Linked DNA regions of Lonchura striata. The protein of the gene in region 2 purifies or fractionates together with the protein of the main gene of each other region. This does not show direct contact. Links are inferred from orthologs where the notes say so. Each region holds a gene or a part of one and is shown on either strand. Other genes may lie near its edges.

Region 1 (6,832 bases), on a different chromosome or scaffold from region 2:
CCTCTGGCTACCTACATGCCCAATTAGGTAGCTCACTTTCTAAGGGAGAGAACATGACTCCAAGCTCTGCCCCTCCCTTACACATTCTTCCAGCCTCCCAGACATCCAGTGCCATAGGGAGTGCTGTGCTTTACACACAATTAAGGCACTTGGCACCACCAAAATCAGGTTTCATGAGCTCCAAGGAGCAGACAGGCCAGAGACAGGACTATGGCACACACTCAGTCCATCATCTCTGGAGAGCTGAGTCTCAGGGAGGTCAGCTGGGTGAGCCCTTCAGAGCTGCCAGTCCCCATTCAAGCCTACACTACTGGCTTCCCCTGGGGAGGAAACACTACCTAGCTTCCTTGGCAGCCTGCACTGTGTTTACCTGCCAGTACTTAGCAGGTTCTGAGGCTTGCAGGATAGAGGTGGTTCATCTTCCTCCTTCTCTACAACCGCTGAGACTCCCAACCCCCTCATACTTCAAATGCTGTAAGAACAAACATGAGATGAGGAAAATTGGTTTCAGATTTTTATTTCTCTGTACTCTTTAAGCAGGAGTGACTGAAATAGAAACCATCATGAGTCCCATCGGGGGAATAGTTTGATAAAGATAGGGCAGGCAGTCACCTCTGCCCCATGCCAACCTGTACAAACATCAGCTGCCACTGTTTAGTAACTAGATGGTTTTCAAACAAGTCCGTGAACAGTCATAGACTACACAGAACAACATGCCAGTTCACAATAGGAAACAACTTATGTATACTTCTTGATTTCATCATAGAGGACTAAGACAAAAGCACCACCCATTCCTCGGAGTACGTTTGACCATGCACCTTTGAAAAAGGCCTTGGAGCCCTCATCCCGGGCAATCTTCCGCCAGCAGTCAAGAGTGCCGGAGTACATTATGTCAGCTGCAGGAGACAGACAGCTTTAGCAACTGGATGCCCACGACCCCCAACATCCAAGTCAGAAACAGCCTCATGTATCTACTAGCTTTACAACCTCAAGTGCATCCCATTTCTTGGCTGACTTTCTCCAATACTAGCACATCAGAGGACGAGACTGCCCAGGAGAGATGGTGCTGCTGCTGCATTGTCTCTGAGAGACACTGGGAGGACCAGTTCAAGCAGAAGGCTGCAACTCCTTGCTTTGACACCAACACTTCCAAACCCAAAAGCTACCGCACAGTTGGCCAGGCTGTGCCTACAATGGAGGCTGTATTTTCTTGTCCCAGAGACATTGACTTGCAACATCCAAGGGTGGTTTCTGCTCCTCCTACCTACTGACATATACCTGACTTGTGCATGCCACCTTACAGGTGTGCTGCACAGGCTGACCCATTCGTGTTCCTTCCTGTCACCTGCTTCTGCAGCCCCTCCTACATCCCTGCTTACAAGAGATGAGGATATCTACACAGGCTGATGAAAGCCAAGCCACTGTGCCTTCACTTCAGCTCCACCACCAGCTATTGATTCAGGGATGCCCAATAACTCTTATACAGCGAGGAAGAAACTTACCTCCTTTCCGGCCAGACTGCATCATCATGCGACGACGAACCGTATCAAAAGGGTAGGAGACCAAACCAGCGACAGCAGTGACGGTCTGAGCAATCATCCAGCTGACAACAATGTGGGTGTTCTTTGGGTCTGGAAGCATGCCTGCAGGAGAGAGGCTTTGATGAGAACGGCAGGTAAGCCACCAGCACTATCGAAATGCACTTCAGGCCTGCCGCAGCCTACAGCTCTGTTTTTGTGCCGTTTGGGTCAACCTACCCTTGGCAGTGTCGTAGATGCCAAAGTAGGCGGCTCTGTAGATGATGATGCCCTGGACAGAGACACTGAAGCCCTGGTACAGGCCCCGAATGCCATCCGAGCGGAAGATTTTGACCAGGCAGTCACCGAGCCCACTGAACTCCCGGTCGGCCCCGGCTTTACCCACATCCGCTGCCAGGCGGGTTCGGGCAAAGTCAAGGGGGTAGACGAAGCAGAGGGAGGTGGCGCCGGCGGCACCCCCGGATGCCAGGTTACCGGCGAAGTACCGCCAGAACTGGGTTCGCTTGTCCACGCCGCCCAGGAAGATCTGCTTGTACTTATCCTTGAAAGCGAAGTTGAGGGCCTGGGTGGGGAAGTACCGGATCACATTGGCCAGGTTGCCGCGCCAAAAGGAGAGGATGCCCTGCTCCCGCGGGATGCGCACCACGCAGTCGATGATGCCCTTGTACTGCTTGTCGGCGGAGATCTGCTTGCTGGCGTGCTGCACCTGCAGGGGCCGAGATGCCGCTGTCAGCGCCGCTCCCCCGCCAGCCCCCGGCCCACCAACGCCGCCCGCCCTCTCCTTGCGGCGACCTTGGAACGGCCCCGGCCGCCGGCGCTCACCTGCAGCAGCAGCTTGACCCTCTCGATAGGGGCGACAGCTGTCTTGGAGATGGCGGCTGCCACCCCGCCGGCGAGGAAATCCTTGGCGAAGGACACGGCCGCATCGGTCATGGCGGGAGCGGCGCGAGCGGGAGGCGATGCCGGGCGAGAAGGCGGGAGCGGCGCTGAGGGGGCGCCGCAATGGCCGTTAATATAGGGGCCGGGAGCGCGCGCGCGGGCGGGGCGCACGGCCCGCACGCCCATTGGCTGCGGCAGGGGGCGTGGCCGCCGCAGGGGGACGGGGCCGCCGTTGGAAGCGGTGGGGGGCACATGGCCGCGGTGAGGGGAGCCCGGCATGGAGATCCTCGGGACAGGGCATCCCGGGATGGAGCACACCGGGACGGGGCATCCCGGGATGGACATCCCCGGGACGGGGCATCCCGGGATGGAGCACACCGGAACGGGGCATCCCGGGATGGACATCCCCGGGACGGGGCATCCCGGGATGGAGCACACCGGGACGGGGCATCCCGGGATGGAGCACGCCGGGACGGGGCATCCCGGGATGGACATCCCCGGGACGGGGCATCCCGGGATGGACATCCCCGGGACGGGGCATCCCGGGATGGAGCACACCGGGACGGGGCATCCCGGGATGGAGCACGCCGGGACGGAGCATCACGGCGTGGAGGATCCCACCAGCACCGCGGGCAGGCCGTAAATGCGGCCCTGGCCGGTGACGCCGCCTGTCCCTGCCCCGGGCACAGCGCACAGCGCACGGCGGTGGCGGGGCCATCCCGATGCCGTGGCGAGAGCAGGCGGGCACGGCACAGCACGGCCATGGCGCGGGCTGGATCGGGGCGGGCTCTGAGGCTGCCTCACCCACGGAGGCGGCCAGGCCCCCATCTCTCTCAGCGCTGCCGGGAGCCGCCCGGGCACCCCTCGGGATGCTGTCACCCGCACACCGGCAGTGACCGAGCTCCTGATCCGTGGGTGGAGCCCCTGTGCAGTGCTGAGCTCAGCTGAGATGCTCAGACAGAAGCTCAGCAGGTACAACCCGCCCCCCATCACCCAGCGGCATCCAAATGTCACTCGAGTACAACTTCACCTGTCCAAGAATTTAGCCTTGCTGCTGACTGGTTCTTCATGGTCATACACCATTGCACGTTAGTGCTCCACTGATGAAGGGCCTTCTTTCAGTGACATCTTAAATATTTTAGTGCTGCCTTTTGGGGATTTATCACATGTATTTGTGATTACAAAGGCCAGGCTTGGTTGATAAAAGGTTAGGTAGTGCTTGATAGGTCGTAGGAATGCACTATGATACAAAGGTGGTAGTAGCACATCAGAAACAAGTTAGAGATAACTTTGACTCACTTGACTCTTCAAAGGTTTGAAGAGTTGATCAGACATTCATATGTACCCAATCTTTCAAATCTATTTAGAAATACAGTGTTAGTAAAAAACATACAAGTATGCTTGGACAAGGCAAGAAATTCTTTCCTCCCCAACATGCTTACAATTCACATCTCCATATCCATACATGTCCAGTAAGTCTCAGTATTATTACCTGCCCTGTGCCCATGGGAAAACAGACACAGAGAAAGAAACACCATTACTAGGCAGTATTACTAAAAAGCCTGGAGATTTCAGTAGAAATTCTTGCATGTTGTATGTATTTTATTCTGTTTTATTATTTTTAGCTGACTTGGTATCTCAGATTGCTTTATGAAAATCCATTTTCTTAATGTTTTTGGAGACAATTTATAATCTCATTTCTATTCTCTTGCCTTTCTGAACTTGGTTTAATCTCAAATGGCTATTCAGTTTTAAAAAGCACCTAAATTAATGCCATTTCAAGTTCCAGTAGTATAGAGTTTTCAAACTAGTTGCATCTTTCCTCTTCAGTATGTGCTTGCCAGACATATTCTTTACATCCATTCAGCAAATACAATACAGATTTATTCTTTCCTATCACAGGTGTCTCACTACAAAAATCATGCAGTCCATTGAAATGTCAGTACCTGTAGCTCAGCATGTCTTTCTTGCAAAGTCCCTCAAGAAAGGTATTTGTGTATCTGCAGTGGACACTCTGATGTCAGTTTTCAAGTGCTGATTTCCTTGGCTCAAAATTTTCCCTTCGGAGGAGCTTCAATTCTCTCAGTTCTTGTGGGTGTAAACTCTGGTCAACGCCAGGTGTTAGCTTGTAATTTAAAGGAGATTCAATATAACCATTTCTGTAGAGACAAACCCGCTTGCAGAATTCAAAGGTGCTAAACATAACACCGAAGTATGGCACAATCTGATAAAAAAGCAATATAAGAAAAAAAATTAGACTCAAAACATCCATAGCATAGATGTTTTAAAAAAAGGGAACTTCTAGGACTTCAGATCTGATCTAATAATAGACCTTGTCCTCATTTATATAAAATCAGAGTCTCATCTCAAGCTATACTGGCAGCTGCAGTGTGCTAACAGTAGGAGTTTATTGTTGTTACATAACTAATTATAGCAATATTGTGAGGAAGAAGGTCTGTGCTACCCTATAGATTACCAGAACTTGTCAAATACCCAAGCACATCCTAAGCAATCTCAGCAAATCCTGGCAGGAAATGTGGAATTTATTCTACACACACTGGAGTGACTCCACAATTTTCTTCTCTTGCCCCATGCAGAACCAGCAGCTCCAGGGCCACTGGCTTCGTATCAGCCAAGGCAAGGCAGTCACAGGCAGGCCATGACAATCAAACCTACTGTCACTCAATTAGCACTCATTAGCTTACCTATAGTGCTCTCTGTAGGTAATCCTCATCACAGCACTGTAAAATGTATTTATGTAAATTAAATTACCTTCTGTTTAAGCTACCATGCTTTATTTCATGTCTTCAACTCAGCAAATCTGCAGTAACTGAAGCACATGTATTAAATAGCTGGCTGAAAGCACTGCTTTTGGACTTCTGGGCAAGTGGCTTATACAAGCACACTTCTTTTACAGCTCACTACAACATATCAAATCACTGAAGCTCAGGTCAGGAGAACTTGTTTAGCTGTCCTAAGTGGATTGCTTGCAATCCCTCATCCATTCCACACCTTGTGTGTTAGGAGCACCCCCTTCAAAGATGTTGAAATGAACTTTCAAGTGGTGACATCTAGAAACCAAGCTTGTATTTGGAGAAATACAACCAAACCAAGTTCCAAGGCTGCTTTATAACCTGTTTTGTCACTGATTCTGTCATCTATAAGCTACTAAGTACAAAAGTATGTCATAAGCTTTCTATCCCCAACTGCCCAAAACTGTCTTGATTCCTTCGGGATAGTGTTTGACTGGGATGAAAGCAACACCTCACCTTGAGCAGACTGGGTGTGAGTCCACTCCAAAGCCCAAGCACACCTTTGTTCTTCACAGTTTGCCGGAAGCAGTCAGTCATGCCAGTAAAATGGACATCAACTCCTCCATAGTGGGGAAGCCAAGGACTCTGAGCCTGTCAAGAGACACCCAGAGGGATTTAGAACAACAATTATTTTCTCCATCCTTGTATATAAGGAACAGTCAACACCAGGTTTCAACAGACAGATCTGGATTCCTCCCAGTTTTGCATTAAAATATAAATTAAAAAGGGAAAGAACTCACTCTTTGATAGGTATGAAAGTGAACAGTAATTTCACACAGTGCCTCCTTTTGCACCATGCCACTACTAGAAATAAATCCCACTCTTTGAGGACAAACCACCTGAACCAGAGCCACACATCCCATCAGCCCCATGCCAACTGCTCAGGTCCAGGTAGAGCTATTTCACACTCCTGGCAGTGGAACACTATGAGAGGGAAGGTTGGAGCCACACTGCCTTCCTGTACCCCTGATCAAACCAGCTGACTTGTCTCTGGCTGCTGAGGCTGTGCCTGCACTGCTGTGAGAAGCATGAACTGCACTACAGGCTGAGGAGCAGCAGCACAGCAGAAATGGAAGGATGGAGATTTCAGCCCAGGCTGTTCAGGCCCACCAAGGGCTGCAGGTGAGCAGTTGGTGCCCATGCTCCCATATCAATGTGCTCAGCTGATAGGTACTAGTTAAAGTTACCTGGGGAGAATCCTGCTGGCTGGCAGCTGAACTTCTAACTGCAATACAGTGTCTGTTCACATGGAAGAAGTGTAGTTGGTCATTTTTAACAGCTAAATCCTTCTTCATTAATCTCCTACTGCATTAGCACAGACAGGATAACCTGACCTTGAATAATCTCATCCTCATCCATCTGTGCACATGCAGCCATGGATTTATCTTGCATTGACAAATCAGGGTTTCACTCAAGCACAAGTGACACTTGTGTTTGACACAAGTGACACTCAACTGACAAATGACACTTCAGTGTCAGGGGCCCCAGGACACAGATTGATGCCTTGCAAACTGATCATCCTAAGATAGAAGTTTGATAAAAATGGGGCTTGTACAGGTAATTAGTGGATGAATATGGGTATCATGATCCCCACATTGATCT
Region 2 (7,132 bases):
AAACAAAGTCACCTCCCGCACAGGCTGCGCTCCCAGTGGGATCAGTTTTAATTCTAGGGGAGCTGGGAGGGCAGAGCTCCCTCCTTGGATATCTTAGCGGCGGAACCAGTGGGAATTTCCCCTCCTGGTGCTTCCAGGGGTGCCTGTGGAGCTGCTGCCCCATCCCAAAGCAGCTCCTGTGGGGTGACAGATCCCAGCACGGCAGGGCTGAGGCACCGGGGGCTGCCCGAGTGACGGGGCAGCGGCAGAGCCGCGTGTCCGAGCGTCCGAGTGTCCGAGCGTCCGGCGGGGCTCACCAGGGACACGTCGTCCAGGATGAGCCCGAAGGTGGCCGCGCGCTCCGTCAGGTCCTCGCTGACCTGCCTGGACACCAGCTCCCGCTGCGTGATCAGCTCGCCCGCGTCGAAGCGCGCCTGGGGGCACGGAGGGACGGAGGGAATGGGATGGAAACCGCTGGGAATGGGATGGGCACCCCCGGGAATGGGATGGGAACCCCTGGGAATAGGATGGGCACCCCCAGGAACAAGATGGAAACCACTGGGAATGGGATGGAAACCGCTGGGAACGGGATGGGCACCCCTGGGAATGGGATGGGCACTCCTGGGAATGGGATGGGCACCTCCGGGAATGGGATGGGCACCCCCGGGAATGGGATGGAAACCGCTGGGAATGGGATGGGCACCCCCGGGAATGGGATGGGAACCCCTGGGAATAGGATGGAAACTGCTGGGAATGGGATGGGCACCCCCGGGAATGGGATGGGAACCCCCGGGAATGGGATGGAAACCGCTGGGAATGGGATGGGCACCCCCGGGAATGGGATGGGCACTCCTGGGAATGGGATGGGCACCCCCGGGAATGGGATGAAACCAGAGGGAAATTACTGGGAATGGGATGGAACAGAGGAAACAGGAGGGAAAAGGAGGGAATGGGATGGAAACTGCTGGGAACATGAGGGAAACTGCTAGGAATGGGATGGAATGGGATGGAAACTGCTGGGCACAGGAGGGAAACTGCTGGGAATGGGATGGAATGGGACGGACACTGCTGGGAACAGGATGGAATGGGAGGCACCAGGAGAGAGCACGCTGCCAGGAGCGCCGGGGCAGCGCGGGCGCTCACCACCACGGACTTGAGGATCTCGGTGGTGATGGAGGGCAGCACGCGCTCGTCGTAGTCCTCGCCGATGCTGGTGAAGATGCGCGGCAGCTGCGCCGTGACGGGCCGGAACAGGATGCGCAGGGTGATGTTGACGTTCTGCAGGTCTGCGGAGCGGCAGCGGCGCCTCGGGAGCGGGGCCGGGCTCCCCCGGCGCCCCCGGCCCCGCTCCGGCAGCAGCACGAGCTGCCGAGGATCCCCGATCCCCCCCGGCCTGCCCGGCGCTGCTGCGGGGAGAATTCCAGCCCCGCCACCTCACCTGGGCCAGGTGAGCTCCAGGGACCCCTCCCAAACCCCAGGTGAGCTCCAGGGATCCCTCCCAAACCCCAGGTGAGCTCCAGGGATCCCTCCCAAACCCCACCAGTGTCACTTGGGCCAGGTGAGCTCCAGGGACCCCTCCCAACCCCAGTGAGCTCCAGGGACCCCTCCCAAACCCCAGGTGAGCTCCAGGGACCCCTCCCAAACCCCACCAGTGTCACCTGGGCCAAGTGAGCTCCAGGGACCCCTCCCAAACCCCAGGTGAACTCCAGGGATCCCTCCCAAACCCCACCAGTGTCACCTGGGCCAGGTGAGCTCCAGGGACCCCTCCCAACCAATAGATTTAGTCCTCACAAACAGTGTATTTTAAATAAATCAGAGTTTCACTCTCACAGCCTTCTGATCTAGTCAGAGTCTCTTCATTCCCGTCCTGCTTCAACAACAACACCCCTGGACACCCCTGGGTGCCCCTGGACACCTCTGGGTGCCCCTGGATGCCCCTGGAGACCTCTGGACACCCCTGTGTGCCCCTGGGAGCTCCGGGGTGCATCTGGACACCCCTGGGTGCCCCTGTGTGGCCCTGGACACCCCTGGGCACCCCAGGGCGCCTGCACCCACCTTTGCTGCCGGTGATGACGGGGACGTTGCGGGGCCGCGAGCGGCAGTCGAAGATGATGGGTTTCTGCACCCAGGGGATGAGGAAGTGCGTGCCCTCGCCCACCACGGCGTCCTGCACGCCGCGGAAGCGGTCGAAGATCACGGCCCTGTGCCCCGCGTCCACTGCGGGGGGAGAGAGCGCGCAATTAGCGGCACGGCGGGAAATTAACGGCGGAGTTAATCAACCCAGGCCGGAGGAGCTGCGGGCGGAGCTGTGGGGCCCCCGGGGCAGCTCCGAGGCTTTGGGAGGAAGGAGCTCCCGCGGCACTGCATGGACTCGGTGTGGATTTATCGGGTGATAAAGCACGGGGAAAACAGGATTGGGGCAGAAACACAGACCCGGGGCACTCACCGAGTCCCACTCACCGAGTCCCACTCACTGAGTCCATCCCACTCACCCAGCCCCACTCACCGTTGTAAAGCGCCGAGTTCACGACTCCCCCCGCCACGGCCAAGCCCAGCCCGAGCTTCCCGATGCTCTCGAACACCTTGGCAGCCATCTCACCGCTCCAGAGCCCGCCTGCGACGCCCCGCAGCGCTCAGCCCTGCCCGGGGGTCTCCCCAGCCCCAAGAGTCCCCCCCCAGCCCCAGGGGTCTCCTCGGCCCTGTGAGTCTCCCCAGCCCCGGGGGTCCCCCCCATTCCCGGGTCTCTCCCCATCCCGGGGGTCCCCCCATCCCTGGGGGTCTCCCTCCCATCTCCCTCCCCGGGTTCGGTCCCGCCGCCCCCGGGGCCCCCCGCACCCCCCAGGCCTCCCCCTGCCCGCTCCCTCCTAGGCCGCTCGCCCGCAGCAGGGGCCCGCCAGGGGGCAAGGCCTGGCTGTGTGCCCGGTTCCCGATTCCCGGTTCCCGGTCCCGGACCCACCGCCGCCCCCCGCCCGCCGCTCCCGCCGCGCCGCTGACCTCCACATGAATCCGCCGCCGCCCCCCTGCCCAGCGCGCCTGCGCGCCGCGCCAAGACGCGCCCTCCTCATTGGCCCGCGCCCCCCGGGGCTCTCTGGGATATGTAGTTCTCTCTGCCGCGCCCGCTGCCGCCCGGCCTATCGGCTCCGCTGTGCCCCGCTGGCTGAGCAAGGCCGCGCGCTATTGGCCGGAGCGGCGCGCTGCCTCTTGGGAGGTGTAGTCCTGGCGGGGGAAGGCGCTTGGGGGGCTCGTGGGGACCGGCGGGGGACACGGGCGGGGACAGCGCTGCCCGCCCCGGAACGCCAGAGCAGCTGGGCAGGGACCCCCGAGGTCACCCGGGCAGGGCCACCTGCCCAGGCAGGGTCCCCGCGGGGTCGGAATGTCCCCCGGCCCTTCCTGGTCACCGGTCCCGGCCACCCTCGGGGCCAGCTCCGCCTCCTGCCGAGGGGGACTTGGGGTTCACTTCTGGCCATCTGAGATATTTCCATCCGTTGGTGGGATCCCATTTCCAAAATGAGAGATTTCCATGCATATCTGAGATATTTCCAGGCATTGGTGGGATCCCTTTCCCAAAATGAAAGATTTCCACGGATATCTGAGATATTTCCCAAAATGAGAGATTTCCACGGATATCTGAGATATTTCCAGGCATTGGTGGGATCCCTTTCCCAAAATGAGAGATTTCCACAGATATCTGAGATATTTCCATGTGTTGGTGGGAATCTCTCCAGTCGCAGATTTCCGTGGATATTTGCGATATTCCCGTGGATATTTGACATATTTCCATGGATATCTGAGGTGTTTTCATGCAGTGACGGGATCCCCTCTGCAGTGACAGATTTCTATGGATATTTCACATATTTCCACAGAAATGTGGGATATTCCTGCTCTCAGCCTTCCCTCCTCCGGTCTACCCTTCCCTCTCTCCGCTCGCCCGAGGTTTTCCAGACCCCAAATCATTCCCGTGGCCTCCCTCGGGCCCTTCCCAGCAGCTCCTGGAGCCGCGGACCCCGGGATTCGCTGTCCCCCCTTGTCCCGGGGCCGTTCCCGCTCCGGTCCCCTCCTGTCCCGGGGCCGCTAGAGGGAAGCAGCGCTCTCCCTTTGGCTCCGGGAATCCCGAAAAACGGGGAAAAAAGAGGGAAAAAAGAGGAAAAAATCCCCACGCCGCCCCCGCGCCCGCGGCGGGTTCCGCTGCCAGGTGACCCCGCTGGATCCAGCGGGGAAATCCCATTAAATCTGGGATTTACGGCTCGGGATTTGCAGCGTCCTCGTTCCTGCCGGGGTCGTGTTGCTCATTCCCGTTTCTATTCCCATTCCCATTCCTTTTCCTACTCCTGTTCCCATTCCCATTCCCGTTCCCATTCCCATGCGGGATGAGCTCTCCCCATTCCCACATTTCCATTCCCATTCCCGTTGCCGTTCCCGTTCCCATTCCCATTCCCGTTCCCACATTCCCATTCCCATTTCCCCATTCCCATTCCCACATTCCCATTCCCATTTCTCATTCCCACATTCCCATTCCCACATTCCCATTCCCACATTCCCGTTCCCAAGTGGGATGAGCTCTCCCCATTCCCGTTCCCAGCTGCGAGGGGCTGGAGATTCCCAGGAAGGGCCAGGGGGACATAGAGGCCCCCAAAATTGAGCTGAGAGTGCGTTCTTGGGGTTGCACCCCAAAATTGGGCTGGGATTGCTTTTTTAGGGGCTGGCTGTGGGATTGCACCTTCAAAACAGCTCCGGAACCACATTTTTGGGTGGTGGCACAGAACCGCACCCCAGAACTGAGCCATAACCCCAATTTTGGGTGGTGGCAGCAGAACCGAACCCCAGAACTCAGCCAGAACCCCATTTTTGGGTGGTGGCAGCAGAACCGAACCCCAAAACAGCTCCAGAACCCCTTTTTTGGGTGGTGGCACAGAACCGCACCCCAAAACAGCTCCAGAACCCCATTTTTGGGTGGTGGCACAGAACCGCACCCCAAAACAGCTTCAGAACCCCGTTTTTGGGTGGTGGCACAGAACCGCACCCCAAAACAGCTCCAGAACCCCATTTTTGGGGGGTGGCACAGAACCGCACCCCAAAACAGCTCCAGAACCCCGTTTTTGGGTGGTGGCACAGAACCGCACCCCAAACCAGCTCCAGAACCCCGTTTTTGGGGGGTGGCAGCAGAACCGCACCCCCAAACCAGCTCCAGAACCCCGTTTTTGGGTGGTGGCACAGAACCGCACCCCAAAACAGCTCCAGAACCCCGTTTTTGGGGGGTGGCACAGAACCGCGGCCCAGAGCCGCGCGGGGCCCCTCCCGGCCCTTCCCGGGCCGCTCCGGTTTTGGGGATTTCCGTCGGGCCAAGAAGGGCTCATTGTCCCCCGGGCTGGGAACAAAGCGCCTCCTCTTCGCCTCCGCCGCTCCCAAATCCCCGCGGCACGAACGCGCCGGGGCGGCCCCGGGGCCGGGGGGACCCGCGGGGACTCCGGGCCGCGGCCACGCCCGGGGGGGGCGGCGGGATTTGGGGTTTTTCCACCCCAAATCCGGTGTGGGGCTGGCGCTGATCCCACTCCCACCCAGCCCGTCCTTAGGGGGGGTCCCGGCTCTTCCCGGGGGTCCCAGCCCAGCCCAGCCCAGGGGTCTCAGCCGTTCCTGGGGGTCCCAAACCTTCCCCGGGGTCCCAGCCCAGCCTTTCCCGGGGGTCTCAGCCCTTCCCGGGGGTCTCAGGGGTCTCAGCTATTCCTGGGGGTCCCAAACCTTCCCCGGGGTCCCAGCCCAGCCTTTCCCGGGGGTCTCAGCCCTTCCTGGGGGTCCCAACCCAGCCCAGCCCAGCCCGGGGGGTCCCAGCCCAGCATTTCCAGGGGGTCCCAGCTTTTCCCGGGGGTCTCAGCCCTTCCTGGGGGTCCCAGGGGTCTCAGCCTTTCCTGGGGGTCCCAGCCCAGCCCTTCCCGGGGGTCTCAGCCCAGCCTTTCCCGGGGGTCCCAGCCCAGCCCGGGGGGTCCCAGCCCAGCCCCGCGCCCGGCACAAACCCGAATTAAGCTCAATAAGCGTTGAAATTCAATTAGTGAAACTGCATTAAAGCCCTGCGAGGACACGGCTCGGGGTGGAAACGGCCTTAATGTGATTTCGGCCGCGTTCCCTGCCGCGATTTGCAAGTCAGAGAAATCGAATTACGGCTGTTTGCATTCTGAGCTCTGGCCCCGCAGTGCAGCTTAATTAATCTGCTTTAAAAGCCAGCCTGCCTTCCGCTCAGCCAGCCCCGGGCGAGCCAAAAATCCCCCCGGGCGGGCACCGGGACCCCGGGCGGGCACCGGGACCCCGGGCGGGCACCGGGACCCCGGGCGGGCACCGGGACCCCCGGGCGGGCCAGGTTTGGGGTGGGTGGGAGGATCGCGGAGGTTTTGGGGAGCAGCGGGACCGTCCCCGGTGCCAGCGGGGATAACCCGGGTGCAGCCCCGAGCGGAGCCCCCCGTGCCGGGCTGGGCGGTGCCCGCAGCGCCGCGGGGGCAGCGGGACCGGCCCGTTCTGCCCGCCCGGGGCTGCCCGGTTCTCCACGGTGCTACCGGCCCTTAACGGTGCTTCCATTCCTGCCCTCCCGGGGACAAATCCTGCCTTCCTCGGGACAAATCCTGTCCTCCCGGGATAAATCCTGCCCTCCTCGGGATAAATCCTGCCCCCTCCAAGACAAATCCTGTCCTCCCAGGACAAATCCTGCCCTCCCCGGGACAAATCCTGCCCTCCTCGGGATAAATCCTGCCCTCCCCGGGACAAATCCTGCCCTCCCCGGGTAAATCCTGCCTGCTCCAAGACAAACCCTTCTCTCCCCGGGTAAACCCAGCCCTGTGCCGGACAAAGGCGCCTCAGTGCGGCCGCCCCAGCTGCCGGTGGGGCCGGAGCCGCTTCCGCCGCCGGGGGGGCTCGGAGGGCCCCGGTGCCGCCGGTGCCGGCCGGGCTGAGCATCCCGATCCCGGTGCGGCCGTTTCCAGGGATACCGCCCGGGGGTCAGCCGGAGGTCTGGGATGTTCCAGCCCTGCCCTAGCGCCCTTAATTGCTCATTTATTCCCTGCAATTAGTCCCAGGTGCTCGTCCGCGGCCGGGTGACCCCGGCGGGTCCCTCCTGAGCCCGTTCCGAGCCCCGGGATCGATCGGGCCCCGGCCAGGGGCGAGTCCCGCT
Region 3 (7,602 bases), on a different chromosome or scaffold from region 2:
ATGGAATTGAAAGGATTTTGGAGTGGGAAAGAACAATCTGTTCTGTGTGGCTAAAGTGACAGAACGAGAGGCAATGGGTGTAAAATGCACCAAGAAAAGCGCTCCTGACAGTCACACTGCACGCCCTGCTCTGCTGACAGAGGGGTCCCCGCCGGTGGCAAGGACCTGCCAGGTCCTGCAGGCCACTGCAGGCCATGCCAGGCACGCAGGAGGCTGCGCTGGCAGCCCTGCTCTGCAGAGGGACAGACAGAGCCCTGCACTCAGGCCCTCGGGGCGCACTCCCAGCACTGCTCACACTGCTGTGCACCTGGCCCAGGCACACGAGGGGCTGGCTCTGCCGGACAGCAGCACTCACCTCACACCGCCCGCCACAGGCTGCCCTGAGCTGCGAGAAGCGCGTGCAAACAGGAGGCTAAACCCTGAGAGAACAGTTCCACCCTGTCAGGACTGGCACACAGAAGGTGGCTGCTCCTCAGCAGGCCCTGACACCTCCCTGTGCCCGCTACCGTGCCCCCGTCCCCACCCTGCCTGCACGCTCTCCCCGCTCTGCCCCACCAGCACCTGGCACAGCAGCTGAGCAGCAGGACAAATGCCTCACACAACCATCGACTACTCTGAGCACAAAAAATAAATAGCCACAAACTCCAGGAGATTTGTTGAGATGCTGTTACCTAGAATAGCTTTGAAAAACCCACATTAGGGGTAGCTTTGCAACATGCAACATAAGATTCTCAAGCTGCTGCAACAGCGTTTAACAGCATCTATTTACAACTGGAAAGTCTCACTATAAATTGATGAACAATTACTACATTTTACAGAATTCAGGCTATCTGCACAAAGTGTAAAATACTGGTTGAACAATCTTTTCTTCTTAGATAAATCTTCTGCAACAATTCTGCAAGACAGGGTCCTTCCCAAAAGTAACACTGTAGAAAGAGATGTTGCTCTTTTTGGTAAGGGCACAAGCACTGAATGTTATGCAAAGTAGTTTAGGAGCCAAGATATGGATTATTAATAAGAGAAGAAAAGCTGAAATTGGAAAGTAAAAGCTGAATGAAAAGAGAGAATTACCAAACATACACATAAACCAGATGGTTCCAAACAAAGCAAATTGATAAACCAGGAAGTAACACAATGAATAAACTTCTAGCTCAGTTAGTGTTGTGACAAAACAGCTCAGGGATTTTGGCTTTTTCCCTGCAGTAGAACAGCTCACAGAGCCCACGGACACTGCTGAGAGCCAGCGTGCCCAGATCTCCTGCGTGTCCTGGGGCATCTCCAGCCCCTCTAGTGAAATAACCAACCCTGGCAAGGACCCTGGCCAAAGGAGCCAGAAGAAGGGCTTTTGGAATGTTCATTTGTCTCCAAAATAAAGCTGCTGTTCTTCAGGAAGGTCTGAAAGGCACAAAGCAATTCCAGTTTTGCTCTGACTTTGTACAGTCATATCACTTCAAATTTATTTCAACCTATGAATAATTTTGCCACAAAACACATTTTGACTGACTTGTACTGGTAGTGCAAAAATGATGTTATGAAAAACTCTTGAACAGAGTGGCTGCTTAAAAAGACATTGTTTCTTGCATGGATCCTTTTAGAACACTTTGGAAATAAGTTTGTGATACAACTTCAAAAAATAGAAAATATAGTAAAAATCTCAGCCTCTGGGCTTTTTATATTCTCATCAAGATGTGAGAGACCTTGAGTGAATCTCTGTAAAAGTCAGAACACACATTTGTTGCATGTATGAAATAATCAACAGACAAACCAGAAATCACTTTATTATATTGCAGCCACAGCTGCATAATCAAAACTCAAATTCTCACGACCACTAGTATTAAAAAAACAAACCCAAAACATTGCCTCCAGTTTGAGCAAGGGAACTGTGCAGTACACTTGCACGTTCCAGTTAGAGGAAACAAGATTTTATAAATATACCATTCCAAAAGCAGAGCATAGACTTCATTCAGGTATTTAAGTTCACCAATATGTGTGTGTATATATATGTTTATACACCTAGGCTTCCCTGACATTGCAAAGGATGTTCCTCCCGGGTTTGCCCTAAACCTGCCCACAAAGGAACGCCAGGAGCACGCAGCAAGGGCTCTGGCACTGCAGGGCAGCATCCCGGGACGGAGCGCCCGGAGCTGCACCGCCGGGACAGACTGCGAGCAGGGGCCAGCCCCGGACAGAACCTGTTGCTGTGCACGGCACGGAAAAGCGTTCTGCTCGGAAACGGGAGAAGGGATCCTGCAGCAGCGTTCTGCTCGGGACCAGGGAAAGGGAACGTGCAGCAGCGCCGGGACTGCAGGAACGCCGGGGCTGCCCGCTCGGCCGCGCCGGGAGGGGCCGGCGCTGTCCCCGCTGCCGTCCCCTGCGCTGCGCCCGCAGTCCCCCCGGACGGCTCGGCCCGGACGCCGCTGGCTGCGGGCTCTCGGCGGGCACGGCCGCGGCCCGGGGCCGGGAGCCGACCGGGCTGCGCTGCCCCGGGAGCCGCGCCGGGAGCGGCGTGCAGCAGTGGCCCCGGTACGCGCCGCCGCTCCGGGACGCCCGGAGTCGCAGTCACGGCCCGCCCGGGGCGGCTCTGACATTTCCCCCGCGGGTCGGGCCGCCGGTGCCGGTGCCGGCCCGCGGCGCTCCGGTCCCGCTGGCCGCCGGGGCGGACTCCCGGCCCCGCCGCCGCGGGAGCGGCACGGTCCGGCCGCACGGGATGAGCCCCGGGCCGGGAGCGGCACAGGGCGAGCCCCGAGCGGGCGGGGGGCTCCGGCCGCCCCCTCCCCGCGGGCCCGGCCCGGCCCGCCAGGCCCCGCCGCCCCCCGCCCGCGGCCCCGCCGGGCCCGGGCCCCCCGCGGCCCTCACCTGCGCGGGGCGCGGCTCCGGCCGGGGCGGGGCTCAGTCCATGGGCCGGCGGCAGCGGCGGGGCTCAGTCCATGGGCCGGGACCGGCGGCACAGGGCAAACACCAAAGAGAATGAGCGGGGCGGCGCGGCCCGCCGGAACTGACGGCACCGCGCGGGGCGGGGGCCTCCGCGCGGCCAATGGGCACCGAGCCAGCCCCCGAGACACCGCCCCTCGCCGCGCCCCTGGCCAATGGGCGCGCAGCCCTGCCGGGAGCCCCGCCTCCTCCGCCGCGACTACGAGCCCCGGCGTGCTCCGCGGGAGACGCAGAGCGAGAAACTACAGCTCCCGGCGTGCCCCGCGCGGGACCGGGCCGCGCGGTGCGGCTGCGTTCGCCACCGCTTCCGGCCCCGCCCGGCCCGGCCCGGCCCTGCACGGAAAGCGGGCACACTGCACACGGCACCTAACGCGGGCCGCTCTCCACCAAACGCGGGCCACACTCCATCCAGTGGGGCCACACTCCATCCAATGCGGGCCACTCCATCCAACGCGGGCGGTCTCCTCGCCGCCGCGCCCCCGCGAAGGAAAGGCGGCACCAGCGGGCGCAGCCGCCGCCGGGGCGGTCCCGCAGCAGGAGGGAGCGGGAGGAGCATTTAACAAAATCTCACAGTTCAAAACGCGGCTGAAGGAAAAGTACTCCAAGGCTATGCAGCCCTCACGCGATGCCACTCTCAGGGCAGGAAAACCCCCCTGGAGCCTGATCCCGCTCCCAGGAACAGCACCTGCCCTCCGTGCAGGTCCTGACAGCATCTGAGCCTCCTGCAGCCAGTGACAACCGCGCTGCTCTTCTCCCAGAGTTGTAGGTTTGCTCTCCATGATCCTACAGTGCACTTCAGCTATTGTGTAAAGAAAAACCCTCACAGTCCCACTATTTCATATTCTATCTTAAGTGTAAAACATCTTTTTTTAAAAGAGCTATAGTTTTCTGAAACAGTAAGTGCACAATGACAAGCATTTTAAACAAGTACTTATTTATTCACAATTCAGATAAAGTTTAAGGAAAGACAAAAGAAATACAAAGGACAACATTAAAATTAAAAGGAATTTTAGTCACTGAAGTGAGTTTCTACAGCCAGGGCTCTCCACACATTTCCAAATATTATCCAAACACTGCAGATTTCAAATCAATCCCATAACAAACTGCTATGACTATTCCCTTTGAAATTAAACTGGGAATGGAAATTAGCCACCTTTATCTATGAGTACACAAACCATCAAATTCTTCAGTTTCAGCTTAAAGCCACACTCATCTTTTACAAGATGGAATCTGCAATACAATTTCAAGCAGCTTTTTCATGTTGTCTGGGCTCTGCTATAGAACAGTCAGTGTCCACCCTCTGCGTAAGAAAGCAGGTTCTGTCTTGCTGAGGAGCCTCTGCAGCTCAGAGCAGACTCACACTCGCAGCTTGGAGGTATCCCTGGAGGTACTGCAGCGCTTCTGCGTTCAGGCTGGTGCTCAGCATGGACAGGACCTGGGCACAGGTGGAGCAGAGGTGTCATGAGTGGAACACGAAGCCCCTGCTGCCTCCTGCAGTCACTCACAGCACAAAGCCAGACTCAGAGCCGCAGTTACCCACGGGGAAAGCAGCAGGCAATCTTTACTTACCAAAATCGAGGGGAACACAAACATGCTATGGGCTAAAAGAGTTCACTGTACACTCACCTTGTCTAATTTTGTATGAGCTACCTGAATTCAGCAAGTGCATGCAACCAAACTCGAGACACATATTAGCTATAGGCCATCAAGTGTGTAAATTTTCTTTTTAAAATGGCATATTTAAGCTTATTGCAAAATTACATGCTGTGAAAATAAAGCCTTTCTAAGGCTCCTAAGGAAAAACCTTACAAAAGCTCTATTCCAATGAAGAATTGGACACAGCACTATCTTGCATGGTAGTTAGGACCTACTTCACTTTGCAGATTATCCAGCTTTAGCAGAGAGACCCATCCTCTGTAGAATGCAGCATCAGCATGCAAGTGCACAAGTCACCTACCCTGCCCGGACACGCCGTGGACAGTTTGTGCAGAGACTGTGCCAGGTGGATTCTAGGATTGTTCACCATTTGTCCTACAGGATCGTGCTCTTTCTTCCCAGCAAAGGCCAGCTGGGAGAAGGCAGTCTGATAGCCTGGAGTATCTTCTATGTCAATGAAGTGCTCCTCGTCAGGGATTGTGTCATCCTCCGGTAGCTCAAAGAGGCCAATGAGGGCCTGCAGCAAAGGAATCCTGGGAGCAGAGAGGGGAGGGCAAAACTGGAGTGCTCAGAATATGTTAGCACGGGCTATTTTACAAGGACCCTCAAGTTATTTGGAACACCTTATAATTTAGCCTTTGCAGGTACTTGCTTGGCTACTGAAATTGTAAATGCCCAAGGCATGCTGGACCAGGAGAGTTGTGGGTCTCAATATTTTACAGGCATAATGTGAGTACACCTATCAACAGCATGAGCAATGTATGTATTTATCAGGTCAAATTGTCATTAAACATATCTGAAAAGAGCCATGATTTTCCAGATCACAACTTTCCTCTGTGTACTTTAAAAGTTCTAGTTTGGGATCTAGTCTGGGATCCAGTGATTGCCACTAAATTCAAATTACTGGGCATGCTTGACTGCTGGACTGGCTGACAACCAAACGTCCCTGGTAGCTCTCCCCAGAATTCCACTCTCAAGCTAAGATATTACAGTTTCTCTGCCACATTACGAATATGCTCAGCTCTCCTGACCAGAAGAGCTGTACGTCAAAACTGGGGCTAGCTTTTCAGAAAGAATACAAGCTGGAGGAAAGCAGTGTATTTCCCTAAATGCAGGTCCAGCTAGCCAAATCCGTGCTGCCTCCATCAAAAACATCTCAAACCAGCTCTGTCATCCTCTTTGAAAATACAGTTTCATTTGTTGAGAAACAGAAGCAGGATGAAAGGCTGAAAACAGCCTTGTGGCTCTGAGGAGATCACAATGGAGTTTCCAAGAAAGATGTATTTTGGTCTGAGCTCCCATTTTCAATAACTCAAACAGCCTCACCAGCACAATCTGAAGAAGTGTGATACCTACCACAGTTTGGTGTACTCAGTGTCCATCATGGGAGGACATTCTGTTAAGATTTTTGTAATGCCAACAGCACAGATTTTCTTTTCAACTTGTCCAGACACTTTCTGGATTTCTGGAATTATAATTTTCTCCAACACCATTCCAAACATCCTATGGAGGCATTGAGAGAAGAAGTATTAGAAAGACTCATTAGCCTTATGGTGACAAAAGAGAATCAGAAACAATGTGAATCACTAGAGAAGAGAAACAACTAGGTAATTTGTTAGGATGCTGCCCTGTTGCAGTAAACATTTGAACATACAAACTTTTCACTAAGGACAACAACTAAAAAAATCAATCTTTCCTTTTTATAATCTTCTTAGATTATAACTTGAACTATCAGCAAGGAACTGTGGTCAGAAATTCAGAAAAAAAGATTTTCTAGACAAATAAATGAACCGCATTAAGAGAAACATTTAGCCAGTCAAATTAGTGACTAATGTACTCTGACATTCTAGCTAAACAGACAACTCTTCCTTACTTCAAAAGATAAAAATAACACAGCAGTATTAAATATAACCCAAACAAAAAAACCATACTAACTTTGGCTGTATGCTGTCAAATATTTCTTGCAGAGCTAATGCCCCATATCTTACACAATACAAGTTAATGAAGACAAGGAAACCTGTAACAAGAAAAAAATCAAAGTAAAACTTAACAGGAAAACAAAAGAATAGCTTTAGAGTCAGCAAAAAAATACATTCCAAGATTTCCAAGGGGACAGAAATTGCAGTCTTTATAAGCATTCAGTTTAGTGAAGTACATTAACTTGCTGCCTGGAAATTTGCATAAAAACTGATCTTTTCACATACCACAACAAAAAAACAAGGTGTACACAAGAGTTATTCCTTTTTCCCCTTATAGCAGTTACAAAAAGACATTAGAAAAGTCATTTGCAATTTTTTTTCAGATCAAGAACCAAAGAAACTCTTCAAAAAACTCTATTTTTAGCGGAAAACTTCACACAATACAGACTGAGGTATGAGCCCCTTTGCACAGGTGCAGTATATTAAAAGCACCACTTCCACTTTATTTGTGGAAGACCATTATAAGCAACTCTATCATTTTTGTTCCTATCAGGTGACACTCATAGGATTTTATAGGGTTAAGTTACGGACACTGTGAAATTTGGGTAGTGATAGTATCATTAAAATAATTTAATAAGTCTGACAATCTTATTGTGACAGGATTATTAATCAGATTATGTATTGCAATAATCTGTCACAATTTTGCCAGTTCAACATAAAACCTTATCAATAAATTTAGTCATACTAAGGCCAAAATGACACAAGCATGGAACACTTCACAGCCCTAACACACAACTAGAGGTAACTACAGGACGTGTGGTCAGATTGCTGTGCTGCACCAGAGGGAAAATTTGCTGCTATTGGTTGGAGATTAAATGGAGACATTTTCAATAATGACATCATACACTAGGAAAGGAAGAGAAAAAAACAAGTCTTGTTCATTATTTTAATTCCATTCCCTGAATTTCATTAAAGTGTCACCTGCTATGGTGACTGCCCCATACACCCCTCTTGATGACAAAGAATTTGGAGCAAGTCCTAGGAGTCACCACTGTCCCTCCAGGGCACAACAGGACACTTGTTGTGCACCTCTGAA

Evidence for each region.
Region 1: the proteins of PHB1 (region 2) and SLC25A5 purify together in Homo sapiens (affinity purification with mass spectrometry; 3 studies listed by BioGRID and IntAct, with this or other methods). This does not show direct contact. The link is inferred for Lonchura striata from reciprocal best matches to the Homo sapiens genes PHB1 and SLC25A5.
Region 3: the proteins of PHB1 (region 2) and STAU1 purify together in Homo sapiens (affinity purification with mass spectrometry; 3 studies listed by BioGRID). This does not show direct contact. The link is inferred for Lonchura striata from reciprocal best matches to the Homo sapiens genes PHB1 and STAU1.

Annotation. Positions count from the first base shown.
Region 1 is NC_134616.1:8,941,323-8,948,154, reverse strand, and holds SLC25A5 (ADP/ATP translocase 2), read right to left. Parts: upstream 2,563-6,832; 5' UTR 2,472-2,562; coding exon 2,361-2,471; intron 2,245-2,360; coding exon 1,758-2,244; intron 1,644-1,757; coding exon 1,503-1,643; intron 897-1,502; coding exon 739-896; 3' UTR 502-738; downstream 1-501. Other genes in the region: SLC25A43 (solute carrier family 25 member 43), read right to left, coding at 4,438-4,641, 5,687-5,821.
Region 2 is NC_134627.1:7,928,001-7,935,132, reverse strand, and holds the start of PHB1 (prohibitin 1), read right to left. Parts: upstream 3,014-7,132; 5' UTR 2,974-3,013; intron 2,594-2,973; 5' UTR 2,574-2,593; coding exon 2,486-2,573; intron 2,197-2,485; coding exon 2,035-2,196; intron 1,266-2,034; coding exon 1,123-1,265; intron 414-1,122; coding exon 297-413; intron 1-296.
Region 3 is NC_134619.1:614,802-622,403, reverse strand, and holds the start of STAU1 (double-stranded RNA-binding protein Staufen homolog 1), read right to left. Parts: upstream 3,002-7,602; 5' UTR 2,857-3,001; intron 1-2,856. Other genes in the region: CSE1L (exportin-2), read right to left, coding at 4,277-4,366, 4,889-5,120, 5,944-6,090, 6,523-6,604. UniProt on the Homo sapiens protein: Binds double-stranded RNA (regardless of the sequence) and tubulin.